3 linked regions of the Arabidopsis thaliana genome follow. The protein of the gene in region 2 interacts with the protein of the main gene of each other region in a pairwise test. Each region holds a gene or a part of one and is shown on either strand. Other genes may lie near its edges.

What was found.
Region 1: the proteins of SQS1 (region 2) and NLM1 interact in a two-hybrid assay, tested with the Arabidopsis thaliana proteins (one large-scale study listed by BioGRID).
Region 3: the proteins of SQS1 (region 2) and AT5G59650 interact in a protein complementation assay, tested with the Arabidopsis thaliana proteins (one large-scale study listed by BioGRID).

Annotation. Positions count from the first base shown.
Region 1 is NC_003075.7:10,419,411-10,426,724, forward strand, and holds NLM1 (NOD26-like major intrinsic protein 1), read right to left. Parts: upstream 4,099-7,314; 5' UTR 4,000-4,098; coding exon 3,832-3,999; intron 3,720-3,831; coding exon 3,495-3,719; intron 3,071-3,494; coding exon 2,852-3,070; coding exon of another isoform or gene 2,801-2,851; exon of another isoform or gene 2,701-2,800; coding exon 2,639-2,700; coding exon of another isoform or gene 2,635-2,638; exon of another isoform or gene 2,535-2,634; coding exon 2,318-2,534; 3' UTR 2,111-2,317; downstream 1-2,110. Other genes in the region: CMT2 (chromomethylase 2), read left to right, coding at 24-110, 186-273, 389-507, 585-686, 872-915, 999-1,068, 1,153-1,256, 1,361-1,526. UniProt on the Arabidopsis thaliana protein: Water channel probably required to promote glycerol permeability and water transport across cell membranes.
Region 2 is NC_003075.7:16,534,632-16,543,556, forward strand, and holds SQS1 (squalene synthase 1), read left to right. Parts: upstream 1-3,557; 5' UTR 3,558-3,857; coding exon 3,858-4,052; intron 4,053-4,070; exon of another isoform or gene 4,071-4,289; coding exon of another isoform or gene 4,290-4,319; intron 4,320-4,410; coding exon 4,411-4,453; intron 4,454-4,602; coding exon 4,603-4,692; intron 4,693-4,783; coding exon 4,784-4,859; intron 4,860-5,020; coding exon 5,021-5,090; intron 5,091-5,364; coding exon 5,365-5,514; intron 5,515-5,622; coding exon 5,623-5,727; intron 5,728-5,829; coding exon 5,830-5,976; intron 5,977-6,151; coding exon 6,152-6,227; intron 6,228-6,387; coding exon 6,388-6,476; intron 6,477-6,573; coding exon 6,574-6,665; intron 6,666-6,831; coding exon 6,832-6,874; intron 6,875-6,967; coding exon 6,968-7,024; 3' UTR 7,025-7,393; downstream 7,394-8,925. Other genes in the region: SSR16 (small subunit ribosomal protein 16), read right to left, coding at 453-615, 1,186-1,231, 1,329-1,461; AT4G34630 (prostatic spermine-binding-like protein), read right to left, coding at 2,462-3,061; SQS2 (squalene synthase 2), read left to right, coding at 7,746-7,940, 8,025-8,067, 8,201-8,290, 8,378-8,453, 8,581-8,650, 8,755-8,904.
Region 3 is NC_003076.8:24,028,386-24,037,210, reverse strand, and holds AT5G59650 (Leucine-rich repeat protein kinase family protein), read right to left. Parts: upstream 5,866-8,825; coding exon 5,784-5,865; intron 5,674-5,783; coding exon 5,136-5,673; intron 5,028-5,135; coding exon 4,572-5,027; coding exon of another isoform or gene 4,549-4,571; intron 4,490-4,548; coding exon 4,295-4,489; intron 4,209-4,294; coding exon 4,137-4,208; intron 4,053-4,136; coding exon 3,981-4,052; intron 3,895-3,980; coding exon 3,826-3,894; intron 3,731-3,825; coding exon 3,564-3,730; intron 3,473-3,563; coding exon 3,231-3,472; intron 3,160-3,230; coding exon 3,033-3,159; intron 2,954-3,032; coding exon 2,888-2,953; intron 2,805-2,887; coding exon 2,615-2,804; intron 2,514-2,614; coding exon 2,111-2,513; downstream 1-2,110. Other genes in the region: AT5G59660 (Leucine-rich repeat protein kinase family protein), read right to left, coding at 1-5, 111-305, 383-609, 774-897, 960-1,063, 1,149-1,299, 1,407-1,524. UniProt on the Arabidopsis thaliana protein: Required for accurate photosynthesis.

The DNA of each region.
Region 1 (7,314 bases), 6.1 Mb from region 2:
CCACCTTGGCTTTCATGTTTCAGAGGAATGTAGTTGCTTATGCTGAAGGCCAACCCAGAAAACTTGAAAAAGCTCTTGTTCTAAAAGATGCGATATCAGATCTTCCTCATGTATGTTTCATTTCCACTAGATCCATCTGCAATTCAGGGTTAATATATATTTATAATTTCTTTTCACATATCTAGGTATCAAACGATGAAGACCGGGAGAAATTGCCTTATGAAAGTCTCCCAAAAACAGATTTTCAGAGGTACATTAGATCAACCAAACGTGGTAAGTTGGATCTGGATTCTGTAGTTACGGTCTCTTTCACAACAATTGTCTGATAAGCCATGACCACTTGCATATTACATATGGTAGCTCACGCGTTAGTGTTTTGCTATGTCAGATTTGACAGGCTCTGCAATTGATAACTGTAACAAAAGAACAATGCTACTGCATGATCACAGGCCGTTCCATATAAATGAAGACGACTATGCCCGAGTTTGCCAAATCCCCAAGAGGAAGGTACTCATTTCGTTTTACTAATTAACAATCCCGATCCTCTAGCCGAAAGATTCTCATGTCGAGAGAAGTGTTTGCAGGGAGCTAATTTCAGGGATCTTCCGGGGTTAATCGTCAGAAACAATACAGTATGTCGTGATCCATCAATGGAACCGGTTATTCTGCCATCAGGAAAGCCTTTGGTAAAGAATCCTCTTATATGAACTGAGCCATACCAAAATTACATGAGTTATCGATGAAACTACACATTAGTGCTGAAATTCTCAAGCTAATGTCATTCTGCTTGTTAAGTCTGCTGTCAACAGTTCTCATAATCCCAAAAATTAATATATGTGTACTGAATCAGCTCACTTGTGGCCCTCCTTAGGTACCAGGATACGTCTTTACTTTTCAGCAAGGGAAATCTAAAAGGTATACTCTTACACTCCTCCGCCTGAAACTATTTGTTGAAGCTTTCATGTTTTTAAGTCTCTCTGGATTTATAAAATTCGCAGACCGTTTGCTCGTCTTTGGTGGGATGAAACTGTTCCAACCGTTCTAACAGTCCCAACATGCCACAGTCAGGTACCCTCAAAGCCATTCCAGGTTTTAACATAATACCATATTTTAAATTCTTAAAAGTTTCTATAAGAAGTTTGCTATTTGCAGGCGTTATTGCATCCTGAGCAAGATCGAGTGCTAACCATAAGAGAATCTGCACGGCTTCAAGGTTTCCCTGATTACTTCCAGTTCTGTGGAACCATTAAAGAAAGGTACTTGCTTTTGTTCATTTGGAAAAAATTATAAGAACCAGGACAATAGTTTCAGACTACTAAGCAAATGCGAATATCATTTCACTTCTTCTCACTATCTACAGGTATTGTCAGATTGGAAATGCAGTGGCAGTCTCGGTTTCTCGTGCTTTAGGTTATTCGCTTGGTATGGCTTTTCGTGGTCTAGCCCGCGACGAGCATCTTATAAAACTTCCCCAAAACTTTTCGCATTCAACTTACCCTCAGCTTCAAGAAACCATTCCTCATTGAAGCAGAGGACATTAAACAAGTTTGTTATTAGTTCCTCTCCATGAGGCTTCGTCAAAATGATCAATTTTGTTCTTTAGTTTTTCCTTGTGTTAGTGAATTGTGACATCATAGCGGCTGGCCAGCTCAGTCTACTATGCTCGATCGAAATTTCGGTTTGATTAGGATTTTTCGATTAGTAAATTCTTCAAAAATTAATCTTATTTTAGCCAACTAATATGTAATTTATTCTTTGTTGGGTAATTAGATGAATAATAATTGGTCTTCTTTCTCACATTTTAGTGGATGAAAAGTTTCCTCATTGTTTTCTTCTTTATTCATCACAAATGAAAAGTTTCCTGATGTTGCATGAGAAAAATATGAGGTGAATGATTTGGGATGTGTGCCATTCGTTAGAGATTGGTATGTGGTGGATGATGTTTAGTTTTGATCTATCAGGTCAAACCAACACGTGCCGTGCCCGGCTTTTAAGTTCTATGGACAAAAGTATTGCCCCACTAGGCAAATGATTGTGACTCCGGATCTTGTGCTTTCCTTTGACAAATTCCAAATTCTACATATTCAACAATTTTGCTTAAAACTTTAAAGTTTGATCTTTCTAGAATTGAATTTTATTATTTAAAAAATATACGATACAGTTACACATTAATAACAAGATAGAGAATCTTGGCGTTAACAATAAAAGAGATAAACGTAGCAATTAATACAAAGGCCATATACGTAAGGTGTGGTGAAAGTTGTTACATTCATTTGAAAATACTCCATCAACTCCACCCATGTTTTCTTTTCTCTTATCAAGTGCTACCGATTCTCACGGTCTTTAGAAATGAACCACTTTTAGTGATTTCTCGCAATGGTTTATCGGTATATCTAACTGTGTTATAAACCCATGCACCCGCAATCGCACCAAGAGTTGGCGCAACTAAGTATATCCAAATTCCTTTGTAGCAACCATAGACCAGTGCAGGTCCTAAACTTCTTCCTGGATTCATCGACGCACTCGATACCGGTCTAATAAAATTGATGAACATAACCGTATAAATCATTTTTTGGAATTCTTACTCTAAAAAAAAAAAGTATAAGCACAATAATAGAAATGGTAACTGATAACTTACGCGGCAATTAGCACGTTAAGTAGCACCGTTGATCCTATTGCTAATCCAGCAAGTTCTCCGATCTGAATATTGCAGCATTTGGTCCCAATGTTAAGTTTCTCGTAAATTTAAAGACCACAGAAAACAAATGTAACTTCTGAGAGGGAGCAGTAATTAATAACACTAATATAAGCCATCGAATTTGACAACATAAGAAGATATGAAAATACTAACCGCTCTATTATCGGTAGCAACGCCAGAAATGATGAACATTAGATAGAAAGTGACGATAAACTCCATCGTAAACGCCTGAAGATCTGATCCCACTGGTGATGATCCGATAAACACATCGTGTTTTCCGCTACAAACGTCGTGATCAAGTCCGAACAACAACCGTAATGTCGCAGCCGCGAGCGTTGATCCTATCACTTGTGATATGACATAAGCTGGAACCTAAAAAAATTCAAAGAACAAAAATAAAATAAATTAATTCACCAGTTCACACTAACTAGGGAAGGGACCCAATCTTGGAAGATATTTTGACGTTTATATAACAAAATATGGACGTGTGGAAAAACTATATACATACAAAAGTTACATAACATTTTAATTTATTTTGGAAACTAGCAAAAGTAGATTTGTCCTTACGTATCTTCACTCATCTATAGTAAACGTTGCATTAAAAACGCTACGTATTTGAATAACCCAAAGTCTCGTGTGCAATACAAGCAACCGATAGCTAAACTAGATCAATGGAAACAAAATACACTAATGTTCTTTAATTAGTTTGTTCATGAAACTCAAAAACACACATAAAATACAAAACTTGATCGATCATTATATAAAGGCTATATGTAATTGTGTATGTGTTAAGGACCTGTTTGAGAGGGAAACGGCCACAAGAGGCGAAGGCAATGGTAACGGCCGGATTGATATGAGCACCAGAGATGTGACCAAGAGAGTAAATGAGGACCATAATGGTGAGTCCCCAAACGATAGCGATCCCTGGAAGAGTCACGACATTGTCGTTTTGCATGTTTACAACCACCGATGCACAACCGGTGAATACCAAAAAGTAGGTTCCAAGAAACTCCGCGATCAACTGAAAACATAGCGTAAATAAAACCGAGATGTCTTGTGAATTGGTACAAAACAGAGTCTTTTCATTTATAACTTGTAAAACATGTTGGATATGGAGAGTTAAAAGTAAAAACCTTTTGTAAGAAAGGGACAGAGACTGAGAGTAGAGAGTCTTGTTTCTTCAAGGGTCTTGGGTTATGAATGTCTTCCATTTCTTGTTGATGTTCGACTTCATCCTTGAGATTCACCATTACTACTTCTTCTCTGGCGTTGCCATAGCCGTTTCCCGAGATATCCGCCATAAGTGACTTTTCTCTTTTTAGAAACAAAGAAGAGGAAAAGGATTGAACTATAAACGACTGTTTATGACTTGTGAGAATGAGAAGTTTGGTAGCGATTATCTCCTATTTATTGGCAAACATGGGGGAGAGAGAGACTTCTTTGACGATTTTAATATTACCAGTTTATTAATTGAAAAAAAGAAGAAGATGATATATTGTTAATAAAGCTTTTTTAATAATAATAAATTCCTATGTTTGTGGAGATTCTATACCAGGTCTCAAATTCAATTTTCAGGGATTACAATTTTTTCTTAGATCAACAAATATAAAATTTATCGAAAATTTTAGAATGCTACATGCAGAATTTGTTTGTTTTGATCTTGTGTGTTGTGCAGAGAGCCTATATCATTCGTGCATGTCGTACATGCATAACCATCCGCGCCTAGGATTCAAATGTTGCATACTTGCAATCTACTTTTTGTTTTTAAATTTTTATTCTACTTTCCAAATATTCATTTATAATCACATAAGTATATATACGTCATTTTATGCGTTGTTTGTATTTCACATAAGTATTCATTTAGAACATCTCATATCGAATTCTGAATTTCGGATATAAAGTCACCGGTCATATGTTGTTACACCCAAATTTGTTCGTATCATATAAACAAAACAAAATTATGTCATGCAAACTATAGAATAAACTATATCATTTATGAGAAATTGAAAAATGTCACTAGATGGAATTGATGATGGCCTCTTTAAGTCTTCAACTACCAAGCGGGTAATACGGACATACTTTATTTAGCTTATAGTTGTGCATGTGTACATATGTACACAACATTATAAAAATTACTAAAAAATTTCAAGATATTTTATATATACCTTGATGCCAACGTAACAATCTTGATTGCGATCCGTAAACTTAATGTAGTGTACTGTTTGGATCCGATCATATCAACCTCAGGTTTGAATCCATACTAACATATAACTAAATGTTAATTATGATCAGAATGTTTTATTTGCGACAATACTCAAAATGTCATCTCTAGATTAGGTTAAGTTCGAACCCTCTTTAATGGATGTTAGAATGTAGGGTTGTGGCCACGGGCCACCAGAGAAAAAATGAAGTTTCTTTATAATGTACAATTTGAATTATCAGTAAATTAGCAATGTTAATTCCACATGTAAACACGTATGCTGGTTAATGGTGACAAGACAAATCTTAAAGACTTTCATGTTACGTATCGATCCAGATGTGCATGATGTATGGTGCCAAAAAAATAGGAGGAGTGAATATGAATTGAAATTGAGAACATACATATATGCAAAGGGAAGGTAAATAAAGAATATTTCAGAAAGAAAAAGAAACATTGATGTAAATGTAGGAGTATCAAAGTCGATCAAAATTAGTAGATCATTGACTTAACTCAACCAATGAATTGACTATCATTTTATATTATTTTAATAAGTTGATGAAATAAATGAGTTGAATGGACTGATGAATTATGGGGGCTACTTAATGTTTCCACCACGACACTCGGATTCAATTCATTAACTTTTTTACATCATCATAACTTTATTATAATCGATGATATCAAACCCATCATGATATAATCATACACCATCATATTCATCATCATCAACATCATTTCATCAGCATGACTTCCGAAGCTATTATACGTGTGCTAGATCTATATCTTTGTACGATGTGAGAGTGTTACGAGTAGTATGTGTGCATAAAGTAAATGAGACATAAATTTGTTAACGGGTCTGTTCACAACTTACATGTCAAAAATTTCTACCAAAACTATGTAACTTTTTTTATTATGACGCTCCACAATTTCTCGCTACAATGTTATTCCGTAATTTTATATTTTTAATTGCAATATATCTGGTTTACGTATCAAAGATAATGCAAAGGAAAATTTTATATAGATATTATCTTCATCTAAAATGGTTTATCAGTATATGTATTAATGTTAAAACACATTATCAATTTCACCAGGTTTTAAATAGAAATTCCAAAAAAATATATATCTAAATTTGTTTTTTGAATTTTATCTAAAAATCTTATGTGATTTCTTAAAATGCAGATATTGTAATTCAAAACCATTAATTGAATTAAAATATATTTTAATTTTTTGTAATTTTTGGAAATCATTGAATGAGATAAGATTTTGGTTCTATGTCCAAATTAGTGCAAAATCAGGAACTTGTAAGTTGTAACTAAAAGAAGCCAGGAAGGCAATTTTTTTTTCTAACTTCAGAATGCATACTTGTAATATTTTATTAAGTTTGGTTTAAATTTGAAGGTGCCACGGATCACGGGAAATCGTTTTTATTACTAATATGTTTGAGTCAAATTTCAGTCACATGTATAGTAACTGTATAATTCAAGATATGCTAAATATCTTTTAAAACTTTTGTACAACTGTATTTTAAAATCATGAATTGGATTGACATGTAATTTTCTTTTATTTTATTCGGAAATTATTGGTCGAATAATATGAAATTTGTAGTTATATATAATTTTCAAAATTAGTTCGAATCATCAATAAAAACCTCCATTATTTTTTTGCTGAAAAGATAATTTTATTTTAATTAATCAGGCCAAGCTTTGTAAGCCGAAAGACATTGTCGGGTCCAAAAAATGAAACAGTACACGTACATTAATCGAGGTTATGGTTACGTAGAAAGAAAAATATATAATCTAGTTTTTCGTTAACATTAAGGCTCAAAATAGAGCATTTCGTCTACACAACCACACTTAAATTCAGTTTTTTTACCAATTAGCTAAACAAATTATATTTGAATATAGTTTATATATAATTTTCCCGGCACTTCGGAAATGCATTGTAGTAAAACCATCGTATATTTTGACATATTAATATATTATGTTCGCATGAGAAAGGAAGGTTTTTAACTTCATCATACATACTTGTAATATTTTATTAAGTTTGATTTAAAAGGTGCCATGGATCACGGGAAATCATTTTTATTACTATTAAGTTTGATTCAAATTTCAGTCACATGTTTGGTAATCATTCTAAGATATGCTTAATATCTGTACAACCATCTTTTTGAGTTTTGACCATGGAACCAAAATTCGATAAGATTTCACGTCGAGAACAATAGTATAAAATTGATGTTACATTTATTTCACAACTTGAAATAAATAATGCTACACCGAATAAGATATATTTTGTTTAATAAATAGAAAAAATGAAACCTCTTTCCTGTAGAGGTGAAAATAATATTATTGTATATGAGTGTTTTTTCTTTGCTTAAACTTTTTCTTGTTTTGTTTTTTACATGTTAAATTTACTGACCAAC
Region 2 (8,925 bases):
ATTATATAACTACTACCATGTAGAAGTAAAGATATACATAAAAGGTAAGAACGAGGTTCTAATGTCCAAGATCATATTCAGGCAGATAACTTTTTTTTTTTTTTTTTTTGAGCAAATATGGGCCTAATTCCTTTTTTTAGCATACAATCCAGATATTGAGAATGAATCTTATTTTTGAAAATATGGGCCTCTTACCAAAGCCTATTTAGTCTAAAGTGAGAATTGTTAAATGTAAAAAGGCATGCTCATATTAAAGAATAAAAATTCACCAAACTCTGTTGCAGAAAAGTCTTAACCAACATAACATTAAACTGCTTTCACATAGAAAGCAAAAGTCTTAAACAACATTACATTAACTCCTTTCACATAAACAGAAAAGTCTTAAACAACATTACATAAACTCCTTTCACACAGACACAAAAGGCTCTTTCTTGCTCAACGCATCAACACTCTTAGTTCAAGATTTCACCTGTAATGGGTGAAACATGTTGGCTCGTAGACTTCTGCCCATTTTTCGAACCGACCACTACCATAGGCTTTGGTGGTATCAAACCGGCCCTGAAAAGCATGCTTTCCACTGTGTCTGTTGGTTGAGCTCCAACAGATAACCAGTACCTGCATTATTCGAGTACCATAGAGTGAAAATCAATTTCTTTCAACAGTTGCACAAAATAAAAAAGAAGTTTAGTTAGACACCAAGAACTGTGTGGATTTAGACTTTTAAACCAGTCTAATCAAATCAATCATACAAGCAAAACCAAGCCTCACAGAAAACTTGCACCAGATGAAATGCATTAGGTGTAGAAACAACCAAACATGACTGAGAGAAGCAAATGAATTAAGGATTGTAGCCTTATGCAAATAGAGTTTTGGACACAGAATCAACAGAAAGCATCTCAATTTGTCACAATCTAAGCAATTAGGCAGCATCATTGTGGCAAGAACAAGTTTATGACCTTGCAGAATACTAAAGAGAATGAATTAAGATGATTAAAAGACAAACAAGAAAACACATTCATGAGGAATAATCAATCATATGGATAATGTCGAGAAAGAGACTCTTTAGTGTTTCAGTCTTATCAAACAATCATGAGTTTCACATCTAACTGGTGTCCTAAAATACTTGACACAATTATACAAGCAAACAGGAATATGAAGATGATAGAACAAGTAAAAAAAACATACTTGATTCTGTCGAATTTGAGGCTCACTCTATCCGCATCTTCTTTGCCTGAAGACGTACAAGTAGATTCATGATAGCAGAGACATTAGGAAGTGTTCAATTTTACTGAGAATTGAGAAATGTATATAGAGGAGAAATAACGAACCTTGGAGTGGATCATAAAAGCCTAACACCTCGATTTGTTTACCGTCCCTGCGCGATTTTTCATCGGCGACAACTACACGATAGAAGGGTCGGTGTTTACAACCAAGACGCGCGAGCCTTATCTTCACCGTCATCTCTGCTTGGAAATTGAGGTCTGAGAAGTGAGAAGAAAGAAGATAAGTAAAGGTTTTTATTTAAGCTGGTGGGTTTTGGCTTTTTCCCCTTATCTGTGTTCTCTTTCTTCTGTTACGATCGTTATTGATAAGATGGGCCATGTTGGGCCAGTTTACATTTTATCTCTTTATTCACATTAAGCCCATTAGATCTGCTATACGTTTCTTTTCGTGATTTGCTATACAGAAGTCACTTATCTAAAATCTCGGATTATCCAGAAATTCCAAAATATTCAATCAGCTTCCTGTCTTTAAGGATCTTCCTAAAAGAAATTGCTTCAAAATGTTCAATTTGAGAACACCAGCATCTTGTTATCGTATAGGTGTTTGACTGTTAGTAGAGAGATATACGAAGTCCATAGTGCATGCAACAAGTTAGATATAATAAAATAAAATAAAGTTATCTCCAGTCTCAACCACTCAGATGTCGAAATTCAGAGTGATGCGTACATCCTACGAGTATGACTTTTCAAACAACCACCAACATTCACAAAAATTGCAAAAGCTTCTACAAAGATAACCAAATTAACCACCACCAAACACAAACCTTCTTCCTGTTAAATCATTGCTACAGTTTAGCTGTCGTTTTCAATTCTAAGGTTCACACAAGATTAAACGAGCTCATCTATCAAGAGTTATTATGATCCATTCATCATCTTCTCCATTTCAACACTACAATTTGCTAACCCAAGATTCACAATCACAATCTGATCAACCAAATTAAAGAGCCATCAAAGAAAGCGATCAGTTAATGAACAATGAATCCTAAAATGCGAGTTATTTAATTTCCATCATGTACAATGAGATCTTCAGAAGCATCCGAATTACTTACTACTAAAGAGGAATTGAAATTGAACTAACAAATTTACACATCAATTAAACCCAGAAACTGAGAAATTCTACCGAGAGTTCTTGAAGAAACCATCCCATCGCCTTGTGAAACTTCGAAATCCCAACACAATCAGCACTTGAATTTCATGCCGAGACCATGCTTACCACGAACGATACCAGGCTTCAAAAACGGAGATATCTTCGAGGCATAGACCTTGGCGATTGCTCTTTTCCCCAGTTTCCTCATCCTTTGTCTCCCCACCTTCTTACTCACGCTACGCGGAACCAACTCTTCGTCAAGATCATACGAATCGTCGTACTCGCGATCTTCTTCGCCGTCGTCATTAACACTATCTCCGTACGTAATTCCAACAGAATAACCAGAACCTCCACCGAGAAACATCATCCGCTGCTGAGACCATCCAAGATCATTCTCATCAACTTCATCGCGAACGACATCATCGCCAACATCATCATCACCATCCAGATCCACGGCGAGATCACCACCGTCAGCAATAGGAATTATCTCATGCGGCGGAGAAATGACAGAGGGTGCGACAAAGGAAGCGTCGTCAAGAGATATGACGTCATCGTCGGAAAGACTATCGACGGAGAAAGAATCGTCGGAGAACTCGCCATCAGAAGGATTAACAACTTCCCAGAGATCGAGATCAACTTCTTGATCGAGAATGAGAGGAGACATGGTGATAACCCTAGATCGCTGCGCCATTTTCGAAATTGTGTGTTGTTTAGAGGTTGCTTCTTTGATTTTTCAAGACTGTTTGTTTTTGATAACCAGAGGAAGTTACCCTATTAATAGAGGCAAACCACCGAGTGTTATCTTGTGCTAATTGGTAGTTACACTGTTGAAGATACGTATTTACAACCAGTTATATGTTGCCACGTAAGGATTATTTTGCCACCTCAGCGTCGCCAGAAAGTTTGCCAGTAAATAAATAAGTGGACATGTAAATTTGATGTCGTACATTTATGATAATAAAAACTAAAAAGATACCTTTTCTTCCATTTTTTTAGAATATACCTTTTTTTCCTTTCAACATCTATAATTTGATCATTTCTTTCTAATTTTGTTAATTTCTGATTATATTAAACACATTTTCTCTGTTTTCTGTTTTTTTAATCTAATTAACACATAAGAAAAAGGGAGTTAAAAAGAATAAATGTACTCTCCATTTCCATTTGATGATATTCTTTAAGTTTCGTGGCTCTTTTTCAATTTCATTGGCTCTGACATTTTGTTTTTAATTAAAAAGGAAGAAACAAACAAAATGTGAATCCTTGTGAGTTGGCTCACTGGCAAAAAAGAAAGAAAAAAAATTCAGAAGCCTTTGTTTTCATCGATGAATAAATTAACAAACAAAACTAAAAAATAGGATATTCGCTGGCCGAATCGCGTCGATCCACATCGCAGGTGAGGGTTCCTGCAATTTATCCCTCGTGGTCTCTGAATCTCAGATCGTCGTCAACGAATCCTCCATTTTCTGAATCAAAATTTTCTGGAAACAATGGGGAGCTTGGGGACGATGCTGAGATATCCGGATGACATATATCCGCTCCTGAAGATGAAACGAGCGATTGAGAAAGCGGAGAAGCAGATCCCTCCTGAGCCACACTGGGGTTTCTGCTATTCGATGCTCCACAAGGTTTCTCGAAGCTTTTCTCTCGTTATTCAGCAACTCAACACCGAGCTCCGTAACGCCGTAAGTTCTTCTCGCTCTCGGCCTCTGTGTTGGTCAACGTCTTCAATTTTTGGAGGAATCCAGATATCTGACACTCATTTATTGTTGACGTCGGCGATGATTGGTTTCTTCTGTAGAATCCGATGGCTTTGAGAGTTTGTGTTCCACTTAGTTCAATATGAGTTATGCAGATTCTTATTAATTGATTCTGCAGTTTCTTCTGAGCTGCAGTAAATGCAGATTGTATTTTAGTGAACTATGATTCGATATGTTTCCACATATAAAATGGTGTGTGTGTTCGATCACATGCTATCAGTGTAGCTGTGTTCAGTCTTGCAGCATTTTCTTATTCAATTTTTTTTTTTTTTTCATTTTGTAGGTGTGTGTGTTCTACTTGGTTCTCCGAGCTCTTGATACTGTTGGTTAGTGTCTCTTAACTTTGCTTTCAAGATTACCTTGATACGATGAGGCTTCTCCAAAATCTGCTATATTTCTGTTTTGAAATGCTTTTATGTTAGAGCCATCTTTCTTCTTCGTGCTTCTGCTGCTAATATTATTTTTTGTACGACAGAGGATGATACTAGCATACCAACTGATGAAAAGGTTCCCATCCTGATAGCTTTTCACCGGCACATATACGATACTGATTGGCATTATTCATGCAAGTCTGAAGAGTCTCTTAACATCTTCATCTTTCACATTCCATTAATCTTTGACTGTCTAACTGACAAATTTTACTTGTTCAACTTTAGGTGGTACGAAGGAGTACAAGATTCTAATGGACCAATTTCACCATGTTTCTGCAGCTTTTTTGGAACTTGAAAAAGGGTTAGTTCTAATATTTGCTATACGCACTTCTGTTCTACTTTATAGATTTTTTCTGCTCATGTTGTCTCACGTTTATTGAGTTACTCAATTTGTTGATACTCTTATCTGCTTTCTGACAATACTAATTACCTCATTTTTAACATATGCTTTTGTATATGAAGGTATCAAGAGGCTATCGAGGAAATTACTAGAAGAATGGGTGCAGGGATGGCCAAGTTTATCTGCCAAGAGGTCTGTGATACAGAGCAGTTTTCGTAGTTGGATTTGTTTTTGAGTTATGGTGACAAAATGTCTTGAGCTGGACTGAGGTCTCTGTTTCAGTTAGAATTCTGTCATGCTTAATCTTTTCATAAGTCATAAATATTGGAATGCCTCATGTGATGCTTCTATGATATGACAAGTAGTAATTGTATTGAAAGTACCAAAACTTATTTATAAGTTTTGTAAAGAAATGAAATCATTTGTTTACCGATCCAGTTGATCCAGTTTTCACTATTATACACAGGTAGAAACTGTTGATGACTACGATGAATACTGCCACTATGTTGCTGGGCTTGTTGGTTTAGGTTTGTCGAAACTCTTCCTCGCTGCAGGATCAGAGGTTTTGACACCAGATTGGGAGGCGATTTCCAATTCAATGGGTTTATTTCTGCAGGTACAACAATGTATTTTGAGGTGTACAATGTTTCTTCTTCCTCAAATCTTTTGCAATTTCGGACAATTTCTATCATTGAATGATTTATAACACTGGTCTTATTTGCAGAAAACAAACATTATCAGAGATTATCTTGAGGACATTAATGAGATACCAAAATCCCGCATGTTTTGGCCTCGCGAGATTTGGGGCAAATATGCTGACAAGCTTGAGGTGCATACATACCACTCTCAAGCTCTCATCTTAGGTCTGATGTTACCCATATTGACTATTTTCTGACAGTGCCTTTTTGGTGATTTGTAAATTGTAATGTAGGATTTAAAATACGAGGAGAACACAAACAAATCCGTACAGTGCTTAAATGAAATGGTTACCAATGCGTTGATGCATATTGAAGATTGCCTGAAATACATGGTTTCCTTGCGTGATCCTTCCATATTTCGGTTCTGTGCCATCCCTCAGGTTAGAGAACGAAATATCACATAATTGTTAAGTCTTTAAACTTCACATTGAGAACTGTTTATATTGTTTTCCTCTTCATATGGAATTAGGTATTCTCCTCTTTAACTACGTCTGCACTAATATAGAATGCCTTAGAAGTTAATATTGCTTTGCTTGGGTGTATTTTCTTGATTAGATCATGGCGATTGGAACACTTGCATTATGCTATAACAATGAACAAGTATTCAGAGGCGTTGTGAAACTGAGGCGAGGTAAGATGTTAAGCCTTAGAAATTATGTAGGCCAATCCCTAATTTCTATTTATGAGAAAGGAAAACCCGTTATCTTTTATTATCAACGAGCTTGAGAACGTGTAGTAGCTAGCCTTATTATCTGAAGGCTAATATCGCTGAACAACTATCTATTGTTTAGGTCTTACTGCTAAAGTCATTGATCGTACAAAGACAATGGCTGATGTCTATGGTGCTTTCTATGATTTTTCCTGCATGCTGAAGACAAAGGTAGTCATCAGTTCCATGTTTGTGATTAGTTTTTCACTCAGTTTCTGTTTAAAGAAAAGAATCATATGTGAATTTTCTATCGACATATATGACATAGGTTGACAAGAACGATCCAAATGCCAGTAAGACACTAAACCGACTTGAAGCCGTTCAGAAACTCTGCAGAGACGCTGGAGTTCTTCAAAACAGGTACAGTCTTTTATTTAATCCCAAAAGCTGCATTAAATCCTCTCACTAAGAAACTGGTCACAAGCACCTATAACTAATCTTCCAAGTATTCTAGAATAGGATGATATTATCATAATCTTTCTTTCTGGTTGGGTTTCTGCTGAATCATTGTGTCTCTTCCTTTCAGAAAATCTTATGTTAATGACAAAGGACAACCAAACAGTGTCTTTGTAAGTTACATAGTTTCCCTTTTCCATATAAGTATCTCATTTTTAAAAAAATACATAAAACTTATATTCTATATATTCTACCCGAAAATGCAGATTATAATGGTTGTGATTCTACTGGCCATAGTCTTTGCATATCTCAGAGCAAACTGAGTGATCCATGTAAGCGAGTCTGATTGTATCACCATCATTCAAGATGTTCAGAGCAAATTTGAGTGATGAAGTAATCTAGGTTGATTCTTATTCACGCCACTGAATCCTAAGCAAGATTGTTTCCAGAACAAACAGAGTTTAAGCATGGTTTAGTCTAAAACCATGGATTCTATTTTAGTTACTACCTTCGTTATCTAAACGTGCATTTGTTCATCTATTTTTATTCCTTGTGTTTAAAGTTCTTTCTTTGTTTAGTTGCGTTTCTTCTTTCGTTCTCTTTTGGCATGTTTTAAGATTAATTTTACCAACAACAACCAGATAAAATCCAAATGCAATAAGAAAGAAAGAAAAATGACAATCGAAGACTGAAATCTCTTCTTTCTTTTTAGGTCGGCAAAAAAGTCTCTTCAAAGTATATAAAACAAAAACATGAATCAAGATTAGATTTATCTTTTTAACGTTAAGTGTGTAGCACGCGGCAAGCAATTTAAATGCAAAAATAGAACATAGTTGGACCAGTAACATGTATCACCGTGGCAAGCTTAAGAGCAAGGCTAATAGCGATTCTGTGGAAGTGCAAGGTATGCAAAGGCCGTGGGGTCTATTGATTTATTAATAGGGCCATATTTGTTGAATTATAGCACATGGCCTACCATTTTGTTCCCCAACAAATCCTCCATTGTTTCAAACGAGTTCTGTTTTTTCTCCTCTGTTTCTAAAAATGGGAAGCTTGAGTACGATTTTGAGACATCCGGATGAGTTATATCCGCTCTTGAAGTTGAAACTTGCGATTACGAAAGCTCAGAAGCAGATTCCACTTGAGCCACACTTAGCTTTCTGTTATTCAATTCTTCACAAAGTTTCTAAAAGCTTTTCTCTTGTTATTCAACAACTTGGCACCGAGCTTCGTAACGCCGTATGTTTTTTTTTTTTTCTATATATAGCTATGTTACATTTTTAGTTACAGCAATATTTCAAACATTTTCTTTGTTTTTATTAGGTGTGTGTGTTCTACTTGATTCTCCGAGCTCTTGATACTGTTGGTTAGTGCTTCATAACTATAGTATCCATATATTACCTTTGATTTGATGAGTCTTCTTCTCCAAGTCTTTTGGTTTTTTAATTCTTGATGATAGAAAAAGTTAGTATCATCTTCTCATATTTTTGCTACTACAGAGGATGACACAAGCGTACCAGTGGAGATCAAAGTTCCAATTCTGATAGCTTTCCACCGTCATATATACGATGGTGACTGGCATTTTTCATGTAAGTAATAAGAAGAGACTTTTCACATCTTAACCTTTCAGATGAAATTCTTTTCTTTTAACTTAATTACTCTTCATTCAATTTTAGGTGGTACAAAAGAGTATAAACTTCTAATGGACCAATTTCACCATGTTTCTGCAGCTTTTCTGAAACTTGAAAAAGGGTTAATTTGCTATATACAAATTCTGTTCTGTTTTTTATAAATGTTCTTGCTCATTTATTGATTGATCTACTGAATTTGGTGATACTAATTTTATGTTTTGTTTTACTAACTTATATATACAAAAAAGGTATCAAGAGGCTATTGAAGATATAACTAAAAGAATGGGTGCAGGAATGGCCAAGTTCATTTGCAAGGAGGTTTGTGATACACAGAATCTTTGTGATGTAGATTTTATTTTTTTCAGTTTTGAAGTTAAGCATCAAAACTTCTGAAGAGCTGAACTTATTTGTGTATTGGACAGGTAGAAACAATTGATGACTATGATGAATACTGCCATTATGCTGCAGGACTTGTTGGTTTAGGTTTGTCAAAAATCTTCATTGCTTCGGAATTAGAAATACTGACTCCAGATTGGAAGCAGATTTCAAATTCTACAGGTTTATTTCTGCAGGTATTCATTACAATGGTATAA
Region 3 (8,825 bases), on a different chromosome or scaffold from region 2:
AATCACTGACATAAAAAGTTTCGATGATGTTAGAAAGTAATACATGAAAAATGCATACATGAGTACCATGCTTATGTTTTGTTTCCTAGATCACTAACCATAAGACATACCGTCAATTTCATTTGTTTCGGATTGCGGGAACTGGATGACTGCATAGATTTCCAAAGCGTTAAGTAGAGGTGGAAGAGTTGATCGGTTGGTTCTTGTTAGCTGCAAACTACATTTCCCTTCTTGGCAAGTTTTTGGGGTCACACTTTGGACACTAGTTATGTCAAGTTTCTTAGGAATGATAGGGTCAGAAAAAACTTCTCCGTTAAATAGGATGTTGAATTCTCTGGTATCATTTGCCTGCAAGTCTTGGATCTCAGCAAAGTGTGCGTACAAGTAATATTGGTCCCTGGGACTTCCTGACTGGGACTTCCTGAAGGCCATTCAATCGTCAATGGTGCACTGGCATTAGTCGGTGTGGCAGCATTTCTTAGCGCATCTTTCGGTGGAGCATAATTGTTGGAATTGTTCACTTCAAGAGCGGTATAAATCTGGGTCCATCCCGTCCGAAAACTGGCTCCATATGATACCCATGTGCGATCATATACATCTTTCATGTAGCTGGGGGTGGGAAACAATGTTGTTTTAGTAGTAAAACAAAAAAAAATGATCATATTGATTGCCTTAAAACCTTATGTATGACCTTTTCTAAGTGTCAATGAAAACAACCCTTGTATTGAAACAGAGCAGAAAGAACAAACAATGATCAGTTGAAGTTAACTTACCGTAGATCAGATCCTGACTTGCTAAGATATGTTCGTGATAAAAGATTCAAGGAACCAGACTTAGTGATATAAGAACCATTTCCCATAATTCCAAAGCCGATATTAGCGGTATAGTTTCCCCAGTCTTAACAAGACAAATCTGCAAAGAGTTTGATGTTGGGATGTGTAAGATCTCTTCCGCTGTACCATTAACTTCTGTTTGCAAATCCACCGTGGCCCATAGATTAGGTCCAAGATACAGATCAAACTTTGGCTTAAGGTCAAAACCATCATAATTTCCATATACAAACCTAGCCACAATCAAATGTGTCCTGCCCTTCTCAACGTTTAGATTGTAGCAGTTCCTTATTCCATCTGGAAAATATCTCAGCGTACGGCTTAGCGTATCCCTGAGGATTTTCTCGGATTCGACCGTTTTTTCCACTACGTATGAACTTTTCATCCGAAGAGAACCGCAGTCCAGTGAAACTCTCTTCATAAGGAGACAGTTCATTCGCAGGGAGTCCGCAATCCAAACTGATGAATCCTGTTGGCAGACATTTATAAAGATTATTCTTTAAAACAATGCACTTCTGAGAACCAAAAAGTTTGTAAAAGAATGTGTTTAAAAGGGAAAAAAAAGGTTTCTGATACCTTGTTGGTCTTGAGCTCGAACAATATGAATGATGGAGACTAGCAGGAACAAAAGGCCAAGAGAATTCTTCATATAATCATCTTCTCTAACCTTCCAAGGAAAAATCAAGAAAACCATTTGGCTAGGAAGAAAATGTAAAAGCCGAAAGAAAGACTTTGCCAAGCCAAAAGAAATGAGTAAATGCATTTTCTATTCAACAAAATGAATAAGAAAAAGAGGACAGCAAAGTCCCAACATCACTATCATGAACTCAATCATGGAAGATATGGAGCAGACCCAGAAGCACGTTAAGCAATAAACTATCACATCAATTATATTTGACATAGCCTTAAGTGAATGGTGAGCCTAATAATTTCAGAGTACAGATAAATGTATGTTGAGAAATCACAATCCATAATCTGTTTCTTTAATTTTATATACTATTTGACAGTTTTAAATCAATACTCTTCCAACCATTTTACAAATATTTAACCAAAATCATTTGTTTGTTAATGATGGAACCACAAAGAGGTATACTCTTTTACGGTCAATGATTATTAGCATCCAAGCCACACATACAAAGAATGAAAACATCACTAAGCACACATAAAATAATGAAAACATCACCAAGTAACAGGGTATATGATCTTGGCATGTGGATGATCAAAGCAAACATGACCAATAGCCCAACTAATTAGCATGGTTGTGTTACCTGCAGCACATACTACCTTGCCCTCGGAAACAACTCTGTGTCAAAGCTCATGCTCACTTTAAGAGAATTCTGAGAGTCCATATTCATATTTTCCCTCAAGTTTTCAGAAACAAGACATTCTTTCAGTTCATTAGCAACTTGGGACATGTTTGGTCGGTTCACAGAAGAAGGATTCGCACACGACATTGCCAGTTCAAGAACTCTCCATACAGAACGAGATTCGTAATCCCCGTTCAGGTTTGGATCCATGATCTTAGTAATATCTCCTCGGGTAAGCTCAAATCCAACCCATTGTGATATGTGAGACTTTGAACGGGACTGGTCAATCACAGGTTGGTTTGTGATAATCTCCAATAACACAATTCCGAAGCTGTACACATCGCTCTTCTCACCCAGTCGAGTTGTCTGGTAATATCTGCACGGCAAAAGTACATGGTTATACTCTCTAACCAATATATAAAGTGCAAAATGACAACTCACTTTCAGCACATTGTAATGGTAACTAACGACACTTACTCAGGATCAAGGTATCCAGGAGTACCAGCAACCACAGTTGAAATATGTGTTTCACCTCCAATAGGGAAAGATCTCGAAAGGCCGAAATCGGCAAGCTTGGCCTTTAACTGTTCGTCCAGCAATATGTTTGTCGTTTTTATATCTCTATGTACAATTGGTGGTGTGCATCCAGAATGTAGATATTCCAATCCTATTCAAAGGAATGATTATTTGTTAGTCCACCAGAAGGAAAGTCATTTTAAGCTGCCAATATTGGCTAATAAGCTTACGAACCTAGTGCAGCCTCCAGAGCTATTCGTAGACGATTACCCCAGTTGATAAAGGACCCACCGCTTTTTCCTGAATACTTGATTCTTTAGATCCTTGGGAACGTTGAAACATATATACACTTTCGAATCATGAAGAAATTCAAGTTTACCAGATAGATGTTGTCTTAAGTCTCCCTTGGGCAAAAACTCATAGATGAGAGCCAAGTGATCTCTTTCATCGCAATATCCAACAAGACTCACCAAATTTGTATGGTGAACTCGTAGAAGAAGATCAACCTAATCATTCATGGGAAATAAAAGTAAGAGAAAGCGTTAGATGGTCATATTTTTAAGAAGATTATGCATACCTCTGCCTTAAAATGCTTATATCCTTGACTTGATGATTGAGAGAGAACTTTAACAGCCACCTGTTCAGAACCATTTATAGTACCATGACAAACAACACCGAATCCTCCTTCCCCTACAACTCTTTGAAAATTATTCGTCATTTTGATAACCTCTGAATAAGTAAACCTTCTCTTTTTCGTCTCGATTGATGGTTCAGGTGAATTATCATGAACCATTGGCATACTCAGTGGAGGTTGTAGAGCTATAGATAAGAAAGAAAAAAAGTAGGGTATGTAAGAATTCATCGATTTGTTGCAGTTTCTTGATTTGATGAGAGATCTCCTGCAAATTACCTCCCACAGTAGATGACTTTTTCTTACTGAGAACAAAAATAATAACCAACACAGCAACAATTATGGCCACAGAAGCAACTGATGCAACAATCACCACCGGGAATTTCTTCTTCGAGTTTTTTTCTGTGCAGGAACCAGAGAGACAAAGCCTTGGGTTGCCTTGAACTCTGCAAGAAAAAGAGTGTTGTTAAAAACATCAAATCACAAAAGGGCTGTGGAAAATAACTGTGGAATATTAAAAAGTACGTGGGAAGTTTCTTACAGTAATTCTAGTCCCTCTCTTCGAAGACCTTGAGGAAGGGGACCACTAAGATTGTTGCCGCTTAAGTTTCTATTAAAGAAGAGCAATCTTCATGCATACAGACACATGAACCAAAGGAGAACTGAAAGTAAACGAAAATATGCTGAGCAACTTACATGATCACCAACGATTTCATCTGGGCTAGAAATTCCGGCACCACTCCAGTTAGTGTGTTATTTGACAAGTCCCTAAAAGTTTATTTCCAAAATAAAGTAGAGCTCATTAGGTTTTCCTCCATCAACAAAACCAATATTAACTATGGCCATACTTACAGTTTTTCTAAATGTGTAAGGTTTTGAATTGCGGCCGCAATGATTCCAGTTAAACCGCTCGAAGACAAATTTCTGGTGATTCCAAAGCATGATAGTTAACTTATTTTGAAGATAAGTGTCAAAGTGTGCATGTTCATATCTTGGATCTTACGACTTACAAGGATAATACTCTTGGAGGTTTAGAAACATCTGTGTTGTTGCTACAGTTCAAACCATCCCACGCATACTTTTGAGGGACGCAAGGATCTCCTTGCCACCTGATTCTACTCAATTTATAGGCAGCTTCGATATTTTTAACAGCAACCACTGATGTAGAGCTCAAGGATGTGAGAATTAGCAGGTGAAGTTGATTTCTCTAGTTAAAAAAAAAAAACAGACTGTATCTGCATAACAATGAAGATAAGTAACATACCATCATTTTCATTTGTTTCCGACCGTGGAAATTGGATAACTGTGTAGATTTCAAGAGCGTTAAGTAGAGAAGGAAGAGTTGACCTCGAGGTTTTTATTAGCTGGTAAATGCAATTTTCTCCTTTGCATGTCACTGGAGAAAGATTATGGATAGTAGTCACCCCTAACTTTGGAGGGATGAAACCTTCTTCAACAACAGCTCCATCCCATAATATGTCAAATTCTCTGGTATCATTGGTCTGTAAATCTTGTATCTCAGAGAAGTGGCTGTACAAGTAATATTGGTCACCAGGATTGTCTGGTGGCCAACTGATTGTCAATGGCGCGCTGGCATTAGAAGGCGTGGCAGCCGCTGCAAGAGCCTTTTTTGGTGGTTCATAATTGTTATCATTGGTCACTTCGAGAGTGGTGAAAATTTGGGTCCAATCATCCACCATAAAGTAATTATGCCATCTGCGATCATAAATATCATCCGGGTACCTATGTGGAACAAAGGTTGTATTATCCTTGAATAAGTATAGGAATGTTAAAAATAAAGAGTATAGGAATATAGAATCCATCACTGTTAACCAAAAAAAAAACACTTACCGAAGAAAGCCATCTGTCTTGTTGAGATATATCCGAACGAAAAGATTCAAAGAACCATCTGTGAGATAAGAATTATTTCCTAATGGCCGTAATTCCAAGGCTGAGATCAAGGGTGTAGTTGTCCCTGTCTTAACAAGACAAACGTTCAAAGAGTTTGATGTTGGAGTGTGAAGGATCTCCTCCATTGTACCATTCACAAACTTTTGCAAATCTATAGTTGCCCACAGATTAGGTCCTAGATGCAGTTCAAATATCGGGTTAGAGTTACGACCATCGTAATTCCCATAAATGAACCTAGCCCTGATCAAATATTTCCTGTTCTTGTCAACACTCAAACTATAGCAGTTCCTTCTCTCCTCTGGAAAATACCTCAGCCTCGTGTACGGCTTAAGGTAGTCATTCTCCATACTCGCCTGGATTTTACCACTTTCACCAGTCTGGATGAATTCAGCATCAGACGAGAACCGTAGTCCGGTTACTGACTCAGTATAAGAAGACGGTTCAGTCATGGGTAACCCGCAATCCAAACTGATAAACTCTGTTAAGAGAGTGAAAAATCAAAAGCATCTCAGATACAAACATAACTAAGACTCGAATCAGTAAGAAGTAGTAGTGTAATATACATATAAACCATTAAGATTTAGGTACCTTGTTGATCCTGAGCTTGAACACAACCAATAATGGCAAAAGCTCCTAATAGCAGCAGCAAAAGCCAACAAGGACTATCCATAATTGCTTTTAGATATCAAAACCTTACCAATGCCAGAGTTTGAGAGAAACACAGCGTATAAATAGATAAACCCAAGAAACAGTCCAAGCCTCTGGCAACATGGCAAGATGTCCTGAGTCAGTGAAACGAATGAGTAAATGTGTTTTCTATTGCAACTTTACAATTACAAATTTGATTTGTCCCAAGAATGTCAGAATATATGCAACTTGTATTTAGAAAAAATAATATGCAACTTCTGTGTTTTTAAGAGAATATGTCAATAGAGGGTTTTACAGTCACCACTCTTTTAACGCATTAAAAAATGTTCACACAGAGAGAAAGCAAGAGATTTGACTTTCTAGTGGTCAGTGACTTTGATTGAATCATATCGGATAATTTATCACTAATTAATACACATTTTGACGTCTTCATCGACAAGAACAGCTTCTAATCACAAAGCAGAGGATTCACATTTATCAACAATGACTATTATCTAAAGAGAAGTGGGTCAACATGAAGAAACAAATTTCAAGACAAAGACGCCATTATCAGATATCTAAAATCATAAAGTTCAAATTTTTAAAGGATTTTCAGTTACATCATAAACTGAGAAATTACCTTCCGGCCATGAAACTGAGAGAATTTTGATTCCATCTCTTTGAGCCGGCCCAATAACTTTTGTGAGGAGGAGGACGAATGTGAGGAATCTCCGGAGATAAATCGGCCATATACGGCAGCGAAATCTCCCGTCGTGAGAAGGACGGCGATGACAATGAGACCTCTTCATCGGCGATTAGCACTGTTTGAGAACGCGATTGGCGATTTGGAGTGCTGGAGAGTAGCGTTTTAAACGCAACGGTATGTATATTTTTCAACGTTGCTATAATAACAGAAATAATTGTTATGGGCCAAACATGGGTTTTATCAGCCCATTAAACAGAAAATAATGAATTTGGAGTGCTGGAAACACGGTCGCTGGAGAGTAGCTTTTTTAAACGCAACGGTATGTATATTATTCAAGCTTACTTACAGAGTTTCTAGTTGCGTAAGATTTTGAATCGCAGCAGCCATGGTTCCAGTTAGACCACTTGAAGACAAGTTTCTGGTGACATGTCCAAAACCACATTCAAGTGTCACAACTACTAACGGATATTGAAGAGCGTCTGGTCAGAAATCGATATTCTTACGAAAAAATTACGGTCATTATTTTCGTCAGAAAATTGTGACCATTTTCATACAAAATTGTGACGTATTTATTTGGTCATAAAAACGTTACTATTTCGTTATAATATTATGACTTAATTGAATGTAACTAATGTTTGTCACTAATTATGTCAAATTTGTTACAAATTATATAGTCATAAATATAAGTACGGATTTGCGACCAAATATAGTAACTAAATTATACGATAATTGTGACTGAATTTATGTCATGTATAGTTACGAGAATTTTGTAACAACGATGACACAATTTGTCACTGTTTTAGTGACTTTTGCGTTTGGTCATAGATTGTGACATAAGTGTTACCAATTTTAATACAAAAATAAAAACTTGTGAACAAAAAATTAAATAAAAAAACTTCTTCAGTTTTGGAAACAATGTTTTTGATAATACAAAAAAAGCTGTAAAAAGTCCAAATGAAAAAAAAAATTATTCGGATTCGTCACTAGTTAATTCGATATCAGAATTTCCATCTTCAGCATCTGATCCATCTTCGGCTTCTACTACTGGATCATCAAGATCTTCTGGTTGGGCATCTAGATATGATAGTGTCTCGATTTGTAATGAATCAACTTCAACAATAGAATCATCGTTATCATGCTGCATTGCAGTGAAATCCAGATTTTTGTTATCAATACTTTCCCTCTCGGTTGTATCATAATTGCTGCTTCCCATTGTTGATCTTTTCTCGGCTGAGTCATCCGTGGATATGGAACATAACATACCTGATCTGCTTGTGAAGCCAAAACAAAAGGATCATACTCTTCATAATGCCTTTTAGCATTAATATCAATAATCCCTGACTTGTTTCTTCGTATACCTCTCCCAACTTTTGAATCATACCAATCACACTTGAAGACCACGACCTTGAGATCAACATGTCCAGGATAATGAAGCTCATAAATTTCTCTCAATATTCCATAGAAATCAGCTTCTTCATTTGAGCTAGAAGATGTTGTACCTTTGACACAAACTCCATAATTGGCATTCTTTTTGTTCTTTCCATGATCATATGTATGAAATATGTATCCACGACAAAAATACATTGGCCAACAAGTAACTTTAACCATTGGACCATGAACAATACTCAACAACCACTCTGGATATGAATTATCCTTCCAAGTATCCTCCACCTGATTCAATATAAAAAGACACATACTATATTATAAGCTATCAAGTATTTATCTCATATAAAAAAAAAATATCTTACATATTTTTTTAACCAGCTTGAATATTGCTTTTCTCTAAGCTCATTTAGATCTTTTTCACTTATCCCAGGATTAGCCGCGATCAAGCTCTCATCAAACAACCTATATATACATATATAACCATGAAAAATATTTACAATGTCTTTTACTAATTCTACAAAAAAAAACAAAATCCATACAGATGTCCAAATTATTTTGTCATACCTTTCAAATGGTCTTAATTGATCGCAGTTCCGCAAAATATATCTATGTGCGATATGGTAATCTTTATCTTGGAGCCATATCTCACTTTCTTTCCCACTGTCTCTTCCTGCCTGAGAAAATATATCTGGAACTCCATCAAACTCATGTGTATCTTCTTGATTACCACCATCATAGTGTCGATCTCCTGCTCGATTTTTTGTCTTGATGTGTCGATCAAAATAATAAGTACAAAAAGTAGAAATTTCTTCATTGATGTATTGCTCAACGATCGAACCTTCTACTTTTGCCTTATTTTTCACCTTTTTTTTTAGATGTCCCATGTATCGTTCAAAACAATACATCCATCT